3 linked regions of the Saccharomyces cerevisiae S288C genome follow. The protein of the gene in region 3 purifies or fractionates together with the protein of the main gene of each other region. This does not show direct contact. Each region holds a gene or a part of one and is shown on either strand. Other genes may lie near its edges.

Region 1 (2,911 bases), on a different chromosome or scaffold from region 3:
TGAGCTTTGAAGGTGGAGCTATTGACGGATGTCTTGTAGAATTCAAATATGAGGTTTGTTGTTTGTTTGTATAGGATTGCAAAGATGAGGATCTAGGCCTTCTGCCGTTGATCAGTTTTCTTTTCTCCGGAGACACCACGCTTTTCTTCGTTTCTGCGTTTTTATTGTTGAAAGTGGTCCTTACAGGCGATACTGAGGGAGACCTAGAAGAATTTGAGGCTAAATGCGCCCTTGCCCTTGTTCTTATGCTCTCTAAAGAGGCCTGTCTTGATGGGCTTGCTGAAGATGTGGGTGAGGGGGATGGAGAAGAAGAGGCTGGCAGCTTTGTTATTGACGGCTTCTTCTTTAGCTTACTTTTCGCGTTTTTAACCTCTAAATACAGAGCCTTATCTCTTTCTAGCTTTTCTTTCAAATTCTCCCGCAAGTCATTGGTTTCATCGAAGGTTTTATAATTTTTCTCAATATATTTCCAGCAATCCATCCAATTGGATAATAATCCCATAATGGACCTCAATTTCGGTATAATCTTGCAGATATGATTATTAAACAATTCCACAACTAAACCAGGTTGAAGGTGGAAAATGGGAGTTCTTGAGGAATTGTTATCGGTACGCGCCGTTTGAGTCCAAAATTTTAAATTCTCCTGCAGTTCGAATAAAGCTGTGACATCATCACATTCTGGAGAGAGCAAAGCCATCAGCTCACAAATTATCAAATCGTAATGGTACACGTTTTCGCTGGATAATCTTGTCTTGATGTCCAAGAAATGTTGTTTATTCGGTAGGAAAATTTGCCTAGAGAAACTGATAATAACACACAAGACAGAAAAAACCCGCAAGTGGAAAGTGTATATCCTGTGTAGAGTCCATTCCCAATGTGGTAGATCCTTCTGTAAATTTGACAGTGAAGTAGGTCTTGTTTCCGAAAATTTCTGCAATTGGTTGTAATATGTCCTTAGAATGGGGAAGATTTTCGAATGAACACAGGAGTTCAGTTTCTCCATCACTTGCCATTGCAATTTGTAAAAGGAATGGGTGGACTTATCCCTTACTGGATCATTAATCAAAACGGCTAAATCTAGAATCAATGTCATTTCAACTGGATTTAACAAGTCTTCAATTATTGAAGTGTCAAATGGAAGTGACCGAGCTTTGTACGCATCCCTTTCCAATAAAATCTGTCTCAACTTGGCATTATAAATTTTTATAGCATTTTGAGCAATGCAAGACAGCGAATTTAAAATCTTCCATTGTAGAGAATTATTGTATATGCACGATTTATAGTGATCTAGGGGTACCTCCTCGGGAAACATCCAGCCCTCTACATCAATAAAATTAGTTGATAATCTCTGCTGCACTTCGCTTAGCTTTATCAGCTGGAATCGACAGAGCAAATGGTACCTCTTAGCCAATACGGGGCTTACATTAAATATAGGACCCTCACAAAGTGATAAGATGAAATTAACGAGGGGAATAATTTTGTAGGACTCGTCATTGTCTCTTTTCTTCTTCAAATGCGGTACCAGAACGTTTAGTAGCCTATTCAGTTCATTCAGCTTGTAAAGAGCGTTCTTATATTGAATGATTTTTATATCATACGAGTCCAACGGAACAGAACCTTTGATTGCCGGAATAGAAGCGCTGGCAGCAGCTTTGGCTAGCAACTTTTTTCTCTTTTGCACATCTACCATGTTGTAATATAAAACTAGTCTAAATCCTCAACCTTCAGCTTCCAATCACTCCTTTTATCATTGTTCATTCGCTAACAAACTTCAAACATATGCCTTTATTATGCGTCTTCCTGCTGTTTCAACCATTGATTGCAGGGTAACAGACATTTTTAAGGGTCTTTCCCACAGCATCTATAAGAAAGATCGTCAAAAGTATTAGTTAAACATTGAAAATTTGCGCCAAAGACATAGCAAGCGCAACGTATTCATTGTCCATGTCGTCATCTACTCCCTTTGACCCTTATGCTCTATCCGAGCACGATGAAGAACGACCCCAGAATGTACAGTCTAAGTCAAGGACTGCGGAACTACAAGCTGTAAGTACAGAAAGCCACAGAGTACCATCTAGGAAATTAACATTATACTAACTTTCTACATCGTTGATACTTATGCGTATACATTCATATACGTTCTTCGTGTTTATTTTTAGGAAATTGATGATACCGTGGGAATAATGAGAGATAACATAAATAAAGTAGCAGAAAGAGGTGAAAGATTAACGTCCATTGAAGATAAAGCCGATAACCTAGCGGTCTCAGCCCAAGGCTTTAAGAGGGGTGCCAATAGGGTCAGAAAAGCCATGTGGTACAAGGATCTAAAAATGAAGATGTGTCTGGCTTTAGTAATCATCATATTGCTTGTTGTAATCATCGTCCCCATTGCTGTTCACTTTAGTCGATAGAAGTTCACTCGCAATGCTATATATATAGGGAGCTTCCATATGTAGTGTAGGATATATGTATATATACATATATACATATATGGGCGTATATTTACTTTGTTCTTATTTTCTGTCTAATTTTATAATTTTACTGACAGTAGCTAAGCCCTCTGTATTGCTGTTCTGTGTTATTGCACTAGTGTCATAACGCAGATGGTTTTTAGCAGAGTCAAATTGGGCAGAAAGCATAATTTCCATCTTCCCTGGCAAAGACAGATTTTCTCTTTTGATCACGTTAGCTAAATAATTCAAGATTTCGTTCGGTACTCCAGCTTCGCCCTTGTTAGCAGGCTTGTATTTCAACAGAATTGCTTGTATTTGGGCTGGATTCAAGGCATACCAGAAATCGAATAGTAACTTGAACTCGTTCAAGTTGCTTATCTTCAACTGTAATATCTTGACAGCCTGAATTATTTGAATCAAATTGGGACGAACGTCTTCAATTCTTGGTTCAAACCAGC
Region 2 (3,900 bases), on a different chromosome or scaffold from region 3:
CCGAAAAGCAATTACTCTCTATGTTAGTCATACAAACTGACTTCTGTGAGAGAATTATTTTCATATCAACGTAAGATCACATGGTTCCTTTATCAAGTACTACTATCATTCCATTATATGACCTATTTACTTCTTGAATCTTAGAGCTCATAATTCAAGCAAGTTGCGGAGCTAAGAATTTCACATGTTGTTGAACTTAACAATCTTCATTATACCCAATCGCTGCGTGCTGGAATTATGTTAAAAGTTACATCCTTTTTTTCATTTTTCCCTACGCTCAGGGCACTGTACTGCCCGTGCCTGCGATGAGATACATCAATTTAAAAAAAAAACCAGCATGCTATAATGCTGGAGCAAAAATTTCAATCAGAAATAGAAAAGACCTCAACAGTAATTAACCCAAAGGGGTATCAAATAATCGATGTGCTTTTTCACTCTACGAATGATCTGTGAGAAACTGATTTGGGCCGAATCGCGTAAAAAGTTTGATTCGTGGCGGCTAATGTCTGAGGGGCTCCAACAGGCTCGTAGAGCCTCGTTTCTTGAGGGCACAAAATGTCCAGGTAATATTCCCAAGAAAGAACCGCAGAGTGCTTTGATAAATCGGTTACAGGTCTTAACGTAGGTTTTGTCTCGCTAATTGCTATTGAGTAAGTTCGATCCGTTTGGCGTCTTTTGGGGTGTAACGCCAAACTTATTACTTTTCCTATTTGAGGTTGGTATTGATTGTTGTCAAAGAATGAAAATATACACAAACGCCACAATATACGTACCAGGTTCACGAAAACTGATCGTATGGTTCATACCCTGACTTGGCAAACCTAATGTGACCGTCGCTGATTAGCGGATCACGAAAAGTGATCTCGATACAATTAGAGGATCCACGAAAATGATGTGAATGAATACATGAAAGATTCATGAGATCTGACAACATGGTAGACGTGTGTGTCTCATGGAAATTGATGCAGTTGAAGACATGTGCGTCACGAAAAAAGAAATCAATCCTACACAGGGCTTAAGGGCAAATGTATTCATGTGTGTCACGAAAAGTGATGTAACTAAATACACGATTACCATGGAAATTAACGTACCTTTTTTGTGCGTGTATTGAAATATTATGACATATTACAGAAAGGGTTCGCAAGTCCTGTTTCTATGCCTTTCTCTTAGTAATTCACGAAATAAACCTATGGTTTACGAAATGATCCACGAAAATCATGTTATTATTTACATCAACATATCGCGAAAATTCATGTCATGTCCACATTAACATCATTGCAGAGCAACAATTCATTTTCATAGAGAAATTTGCTACTATCACCCACTAGTACTACCATTGGTACCTACTACTTTGAATTGTACTACCGCTGGGCGTTATTAGGTGTGAAACCACGAAAAGTTCACCATAACTTCGAATAAAGTCGCGGAAAAAAGTAAACAGCTATTGCTACTCAAATGAGGTTTGCAGAAGCTTGTTGAAGCATGATGAAGCGTTCTAAACGCACTATTCATCATTAAATATTTAAAGCTCATAAAATTGTATTCAATTCCTATTCTAAATGGCTTTTATTTCTATTACAACTATTAGCTCTAAATCCATATCCTCATAAGCAGCAATCAATTCTATCTATACTTTAAAATGCTTTCTGAAAACACGACTATTCTGATGGCTAACGGTGAAATTAAAGACATCGCAAACGTCACGGCTAACTCTTACGTTATGTGCGCAGATGGCTCCGCTGCCCGCGTCATAAATGTCACACAGGGCTATCAGAAAATCTATAATATACAGCAAAAAACCAAACACAGAGCTTTTGAAGGTGAACCTGGTAGGTTAGATCCCAGGCGTAGAACAGTTTATCAGCGTCTTGCATTACAATGTACTGCAGGTCATAAATTGTCAGTCAGGGTCCCTACCAAACCACTGTTGGAAAAAAGTGGTAGAAATGCCACCAAATATAAAGTGAGATGGAGAAATCTGCAGCAATGTCAGACGCTTGATGGTAGGATAATAATAATTCCAAAAAACCATCATAAGACATTCCCAATGACAGTTGAAGGTGAGTTTGCCGCAAAACGCTTCATAGAAGAAATGGAGCGCTCTAAAGGAGAATATTTCAACTTTGACATTGAAGTTAGAGATTTGGATTATCTTGATGCTCAATTGAGAATTTCTAGCTGCATAAGATTTGGTCCAGTACTCGCAGGAAATGGTGTTTTATCTAAATTTCTCACTGGACGTAGTGACCTTGTAACTCCTGCTGTAAAAAGTATGGCTTGGATGCTTGGTCTGTGGTTAGGTGACAGTACAACAAAAGAGCCAGAAATCTCAGTAGATAGCTTGGATCCTAAGCTAATGGAGAGTTTAAGAGAAAATGCGAAAATCTGGGGTCTCTACCTTACGGTTTGTGACGATCACGTTCCGCTACGTGCCAAACATGTAAGGCTTCATTATGGAGATGGTCCAGATGAAAACAGGAAGACAAGGAATTTGAGGAAAAATAATCCATTCTGGAAAGCTGTCACAATTTTAAAGTTTAAAAGGGATCTTGATGGAGAGAAGCAAATCCCTGAATTTATGTACGGCGAGCATATAGAAGTTCGTGAAGCATTCTTAGCCGGCTTGATCGACTCAGATGGGTACGTTGTGAAAAAGGGCGAAGGCCCTGAATCTTATAAAATAGCAATTCAAACTGTTTATTCATCCATTATGGACGGAATTGTCCATATTTCAAGATCTCTTGGTATGTCAGCTACTGTGACGACCAGGTCAGCTAGGGAGGAAATCATTGAAGGAAGAAAAGTCCAATGTCAATTTACATACGACTGTAATGTTGCTGGGGGAACAACTTCACAGAATGTTTTGTCATATTGTCGAAGTGGTCACAAAACAAGAGAAGTTCCGCCAATTATAAAAAGGGAACCCGTATATTTCAGCTTCACGGATGATTTCCAGGGTGAGAGTACTGTATATGGGCTTACGATAGAAGGCCATAAAAATTTCTTGCTTGGCAACAAAATAGAAGTGAAATCATGTCGAGGCTGCTGTGTGGGAGAACAGCTTAAAATATCACAAAAAAAGAATCTAAAACACTGTGTTGCTTGTCCCAGAAAGGGAATCAAGTATTTTTATAAAGATTGGAGTGGTAAAAATCGAGTATGTGCTAGATGCTATGGAAGATACAAATTCAGCGGTCATCACTGTATAAATTGCAAGTATGTACCAGAAGCACGTGAAGTGAAAAAGGCAAAAGACAAAGGCGAAAAATTGGGCATTACGCCCGAAGGTTTGCCAGTTAAAGGACCAGAGTGTATAAAATGTGGCGGAATCTTACAGTTTGATGCTGTCCGCGGGCCTCATAAGAGTTGTGGTAACAACGCAGGTGCGCGCATCTGCTAAAATGTGTATATTAGTTTAAAAAGTTGTATGTAATAAAAGTAAAATTTAATATTTTGGATGAAAAAAACCATTTTTAGACTTTTTCTTAACTAGAATGCTGGAGTAGAAATACGCCATCTCAAGATACAAAAAGCGTTACCGGCACTGATTTGTTTCAACCAGTATATAGATTATTATTGGGTCTTGATCAACTTTCCTCAGACATATCAGTAACAGTTATCAAGCTAAATATTTACGCGAAAGAAAAACAAATATTTTAATTGTGATACTTGTGAATTTTATTTTATTAAGGATACAAAGTTAAGAGAAAACAAAATTTATATACAATATAAGTAATATTCATATATATGTGATGAATGCAGTCTTAACGAGAAGACATGGCCTTGGTGACAACTCTCTTCAAACCAACTTCAGCCTTTCTCAATTCATCAGCAGATGGGTCTTCGATTTGCAAAGCAGCCAAAGCATCGGACAAAGCAGCTTCAATCTTGGACTTGGAA
Region 3 (4,940 bases):
GGTCAATAATATGCACAGACACGGTGCATTCACACCTCCTAACGTAAGAACGATACCAGTTCAGACTATTCAGTTTAAAAAAATTTGCGGCCATATCAACCCCATGTATAGTGATTCAATGCAGCAAGATTGTCAAGAATTTTGTCAATTTTTGCTTGATGGCTTGCACGAGGATTTGAACCAAAACGGCAGCAAAAAGCATCTTAAACAGTTATCAGATGAGGAAGAACGAATGAGAGAAAAAATGTCCATACGCAAAGCTAGTGCTCTCGAGTGGGAAAGATTTTTGCTTACCGACTTCAGTGCGATAATTGACCTTTTCCAAGGACAGTACGCATCTAGGCTACAATGTCAAGTTTGTGAACATACCTCCACAACTTACCAAACATTCTCTGTTCTTTCTGTTCCTGTCCCACGCGTTAAAACTTGTAACATATTAGACTGTTTCCGGGAATTCACCAAATGCGAAAGGTTAGGTGTCGATGAACAATGGTCATGTCCTAAATGCTTAAAAAAGCAGCCTTCCACTAAACAACTGAAGATTACTAGATTGCCTAAGAAACTAATTATTAATTTGAAACGATTTGACAATCAAATGAATAAGAATAATGTGTTTGTCCAATATCCTTACTCCTTAGATCTTACACCATATTGGGCGAGAGATTTTAATCATGAAGCTATTGTTAATGAGGACATTCCTACCAGGGGCCAAGTACCACCATTTAGATACAGACTGTATGGGGTTGCATGTCATTCGGGGAGTTTGTATGGGGGACACTATACTTCATACGTTTATAAGGGACCAAAAAAAGGTTGGTATTTTTTCGATGACTCGCTTTATCGTCCTATAACGTTTAGTACTGAATTTATCACACCCAGTGCATATGTTTTATTTTACGAAAGAATTTTTTGAATCAAATTACCGGTTTGCAACACATGAATGGCGCACATTGAGGCACAAATACAATCTGCATATTATATACTTAACAGAAGTACAATCATATACAATACAAACAACAATTGACGAAACAATGAAAGTATGTACATCCTTATACTTATCTATTTGTGTTATGGGCTACATACGTAGAGGCCGATCACAATATCAGTGGTTGCTCATTGGAAAAGGAGGGATGCAGCAAATTCTGCATTTCCGTTAGTCTGTTTAAGAGCCTTTACCACAGCATCCCTAGGGAAACCTAGATCCATAAGCTGTTTAATCGTTTGTTCGGGAAACGTTCTCCCGGTTGCCGTTGTAGCACCGGCTGTACTTCTTCCCGTAGGTGTTGGCCCCATACCAGTCCTTGGAGCAAGCGCAGGAACAGCCCCCGGTTGTGGTGGTAGAGTTGAACTAGTCTTGGTGGGTGTTAGGGGCTTATCAGACGAAGTTGTAACTGACGTTGGTGCTGGAAGTCCTTCTTGAAAACTTTTTGGGATTTCCGCTTCACTCAAAAAGCTTGTCTCCACTTCTGCTATCCTAAGAACGTTTTCCTTTAAGTCCACACAAGCCAAATGCCTTTTCAGCATGTCTAGTCCTATCAAAACATCGATGTCAGTATCTAAGACGGTAAAACTGCATGGAATATATTGTGTTTCTATTTTGACTTGGGCTTGGTGAATTCTCCCAATAATTTTGCCGGTTCCTACGCCACGAGCTTCTCCAATAAATCTCTTGTCAATCATTCTCGACAGGCCAGTTTTCTTCGCTAACCTGGTGGACATAATCGTTGTTTGAGCCCCTGTATCTACAAATGCCTTTACGGGGTAGTTATTTATTTCGATATTAATGTAAAGCATAGGGACCTGGGTAAACATTTCAGGTGTATATTCGATAGCATTGCGCAACTGTTCATCGATAGCTTGTTGGTCTAAAAGCTCTGCAATCCTCTTCTTGTTGTCAGGATCATCGGGGTTGGCCATTAGTCTAGTATATTCATCTTGGGGGATGCCAAAAGGATTCATGGCGGTGTTATAGCCACCATAACGTCTTTGTAATATGAGCGGGCCCAATCTTTCCCTAAACAACAGTGGGTCATTTACTAAATCATTCAATCCAGGGATTTGCAAAATGAGTTGTGATCTAAGCATTTGATTATTAAGTAGCTCTTGTCTAAATTGCTCTATGAACGCTTCGTCGGACAAAGTAGCAGCATCTGTTTGAATGGAATTGGAAATCTTACCCCTAATCAATAATAAGTCATCGGTTTTGAGCCCTAGTTCTTTTAAAGACTGAGTTCTGTTTGAGTCTAGAATGTCCATATTGTAATATAAGTCGTGTTTTGTTTTGTCAAACCCGCAATCGGCCTGCAGTAATGCTATTAGATCAGTTAAAGCCATATCTTCACTGACTTCAATTGGGCCGTATATCTCGCCAGTAAGTTCGTTTGAAATTGTTAAATCCATCTTTACGTATATTTTTGCTGTTATGTTTGGTATGTACTTTGTTAACTACGTTAAGTATACTTTCTTATTCGACCTACTTTATATATCATTTTGGTATTATTATCTTTTCGGTGGCGATGAATTTACAGGGCGGGGTGGCGACGGGAATTCTTACATAAAGTTTAAGTTATCTATGAATCAATGAGAATTGGCCACTGCCCTCTGATATGACGATGGAAGTGGTACTTTTCCTTTTTAATTTTTTACTGAGAATCAAGAGAAGCTAGAGAGGGATTGGTCTCAATGAAACTAAAAAGGGAGTATGATGAGTTAATAAAAGCAGACGCTGTTAAGGAAATAGCAAAAGAATTAGGGTCTCGACCTCTAGAGGTTGCTCTTCCTGAGAAATATATTGCTAGACATGAAGAAAAGTTCAATATGGCTTGCGAACACATTTTAGAGAAAGATCCATCACTTTTTCCCATACTTAAGAATAATGAATTTACGTTGTACTTGAAGGAGACTCAAGTCCCTAATACACTCGAAGATTATTTTATTAGGCTTGCAAGCACAATTTTGTCTCAACAGATCAGTGGCCAAGCAGCTGAAAGCATCAAGGCAAGGGTTGTCAGTCTTTATGGCGGTGCATTTCCTGATTACAAAATCCTTTTCGAAGACTTCAAAGACCCAGCAAAATGTGCAGAAATCGCAAAATGTGGATTGAGTAAAAGGAAAATGATATATCTAGAGTCTCTTGCTGTCTATTTTACTGAAAAATATAAGGATATCGAAAAGCTCTTCGGTCAAAAAGATAATGATGAGGAAGTGATTGAAAGTTTAGTTACGAATGTAAAAGGTATAGGCCCATGGAGTGCCAAAATGTTCTTGATCTCCGGATTGAAAAGAATGGATGTATTTGCTCCTGAAGATCTAGGTATTGCTAGGGGTTTTTCAAAATACCTTTCAGATAAGCCAGAATTGGAAAAAGAATTAATGCGTGAAAGAAAAGTAGTTAAAAAGAGTAAGATTAAGCATAAGAAATACAACTGGAAAATATATGACGACGACATAATGGAAAAATGCTCTGAAACATTTTCTCCGTATAGGTCTGTGTTTATGTTCATACTTTGGAGGCTCGCGAGCACAAATACAGATGCCATGATGAAGGCAGAAGAAAATTTCGTGAAATCCTAACTTAAAGATATCATGTATTACTGACATTTATATAAGAAAAAAAAAAATAAAAATAAATACACCCTATTGTTGTGTGTGATGCCTACTAAAGAAATTCATATTTACAGCTTCTCGTAGGGATACCAACATATAATAAGAAAAAGCCTCACACATACAATCCAACCATTGGAGCGACAAAGCGGAAAAGCGAGTATACTGTCAATTCTCATAAGAATACCTTTATCCATTATAATGGTTTCGAGGCTAACTTCGACGCTTCACTTAAAATTTTACCGCTAGTTACTTTGCTTGAATGTGGCAAGGTAATGATTACGTTTCTCATCGGAGCTCTTGGCTTCCTTAATTGAGAGGCAAACACCAAAGAACTTGTTAGCAACGCCAAAGCACCAGCTTGATGGATAGAAGCTAACGATATTGGGACTAGGTACAATATAGTTAAAATACCAAGTGTTGCTTGTAAAGTAACGACGCCCATCATAACATGCAAAGAGGTCATCGCGTTCCTTGGAATTACGGCCTTCTTTTTGATAGCGTACATATGAGCAGCTAGTACTGATGTAAACGCAACGTACGCACATGTCCTATGGACCAACTGAACTGTAACCGGGTTTTCTAGCAAATTCCTCCACCACAGATCTTTCTTGTCCTCTCTTCTACAGAAGTTTTCGTCCATTAATTCACGAGAACTAGGGAACCATCGTTCACCCATTTTTGGCCAGGTGTTATAGACCCAACCAGCATCCAAACCGGCAACCATACCGCCACTCATAGCGGTAAGGAAAGACACCGCTAACAAAGCTAAAGAAATCTTTCTCATTGGGCCAATTGCGGGATTATCTAATTTTTTGAAGAGACTAATGGCTTGAACAGGGTTCTTAATCCATTTACATTCTCTCAATATTTCCAAACCAGTCCAGAGCATACCCATGTATAAAAAGAAGGCGGTACCCAAATGCGTAGTAAGTCTATATTGAGAAACGGTAGGCTTTGATTTTCTTGCGTCTAGTTGCTCTTGATCAAGACCAGACTTCACCATCCACCAACCAACAAATCCTTGTAATCCTAATAAACCTGCGAGACCAAACAACCTCTTATTGACATGGCCTGAAGTTTTTTTAGATACAGCGAAATAAACTGCAGGTAATATAAAAACAGCGCCGATAGCACGACCCCACAATCTATGAATCCACTCCATAAAAAATATAAACTTGAACTCGTCTAAATCAATGTGAGAATTCAACAATTTAAATTCTGGTGATTCCTTATACTTGATAAATTCTTCTTCCCATTCCTTCTGGTTCATAGGGGGCAAAGTACCTGTGACAGGTTTCCATTCGGTAATACTCAGCCCCGATTCTGTTAGTCTA

Evidence for each region.
Region 1: the proteins of DDI1 (region 3) and SNC1 purify together in Saccharomyces cerevisiae (affinity purification with western blotting; 2 studies listed by BioGRID). This does not show direct contact.
Region 2: the proteins of DDI1 (region 3) and HO purify together in Saccharomyces cerevisiae (affinity purification with western blotting, with the first as the bait; 3 studies listed by BioGRID). This does not show direct contact.

Annotation. Positions count from the first base shown.
Region 1 is NC_001133.9:85,342-88,252, forward strand, and holds SNC1 (SNAP receptor SNC1), read left to right. Parts: upstream 1-1,944; coding exon 1,945-2,046; intron 2,047-2,159; coding exon 2,160-2,411; downstream 2,412-2,911. Other genes in the region: protein phosphatase regulator GIP4, read right to left, coding at 1-1,690; MYO4 (myosin 4), read right to left, coding at 2,514-2,911. UniProt on the Saccharomyces cerevisiae protein: SNC1 and SNC2 are vesicle-targeting proteins essential for normal secretory traffic between the Golgi and the plasma membrane. They may also be involved in vesicle fusion.
Region 2 is NC_001136.10:45,771-49,670, reverse strand, and holds HO (Hop), read left to right. Parts: upstream 1-1,639; coding exon 1,640-3,400; downstream 3,401-3,900. Other genes in the region: Hsp70 family ATPase SSB1, read right to left, coding at 3,765-3,900. UniProt on the Saccharomyces cerevisiae protein: Initiation of mating type interconversion. This protein is a site-specific endonuclease that cleaves a site in the mat locus on chromosome III.
Region 3 is NC_001137.3:453,779-458,718, reverse strand, and holds DDI1 (Ddi1p), read right to left. Parts: upstream 2,401-4,940; coding exon 1,114-2,400; downstream 1-1,113. Other genes in the region: putative ubiquitin-specific protease UBP5, read left to right, coding at 1-913; MAG1 (DNA-3-methyladenine glycosylase II), read left to right, coding at 2,683-3,573; COX15 (Cox15p), read right to left, coding at 3,800-4,940. UniProt on the Saccharomyces cerevisiae protein: Aspartic protease. Appears to act as negative regulator of constitutive exocytosis. May act at the level of secretory vesicle docking and fusion as a competitive inhibitor of SNARE assembly.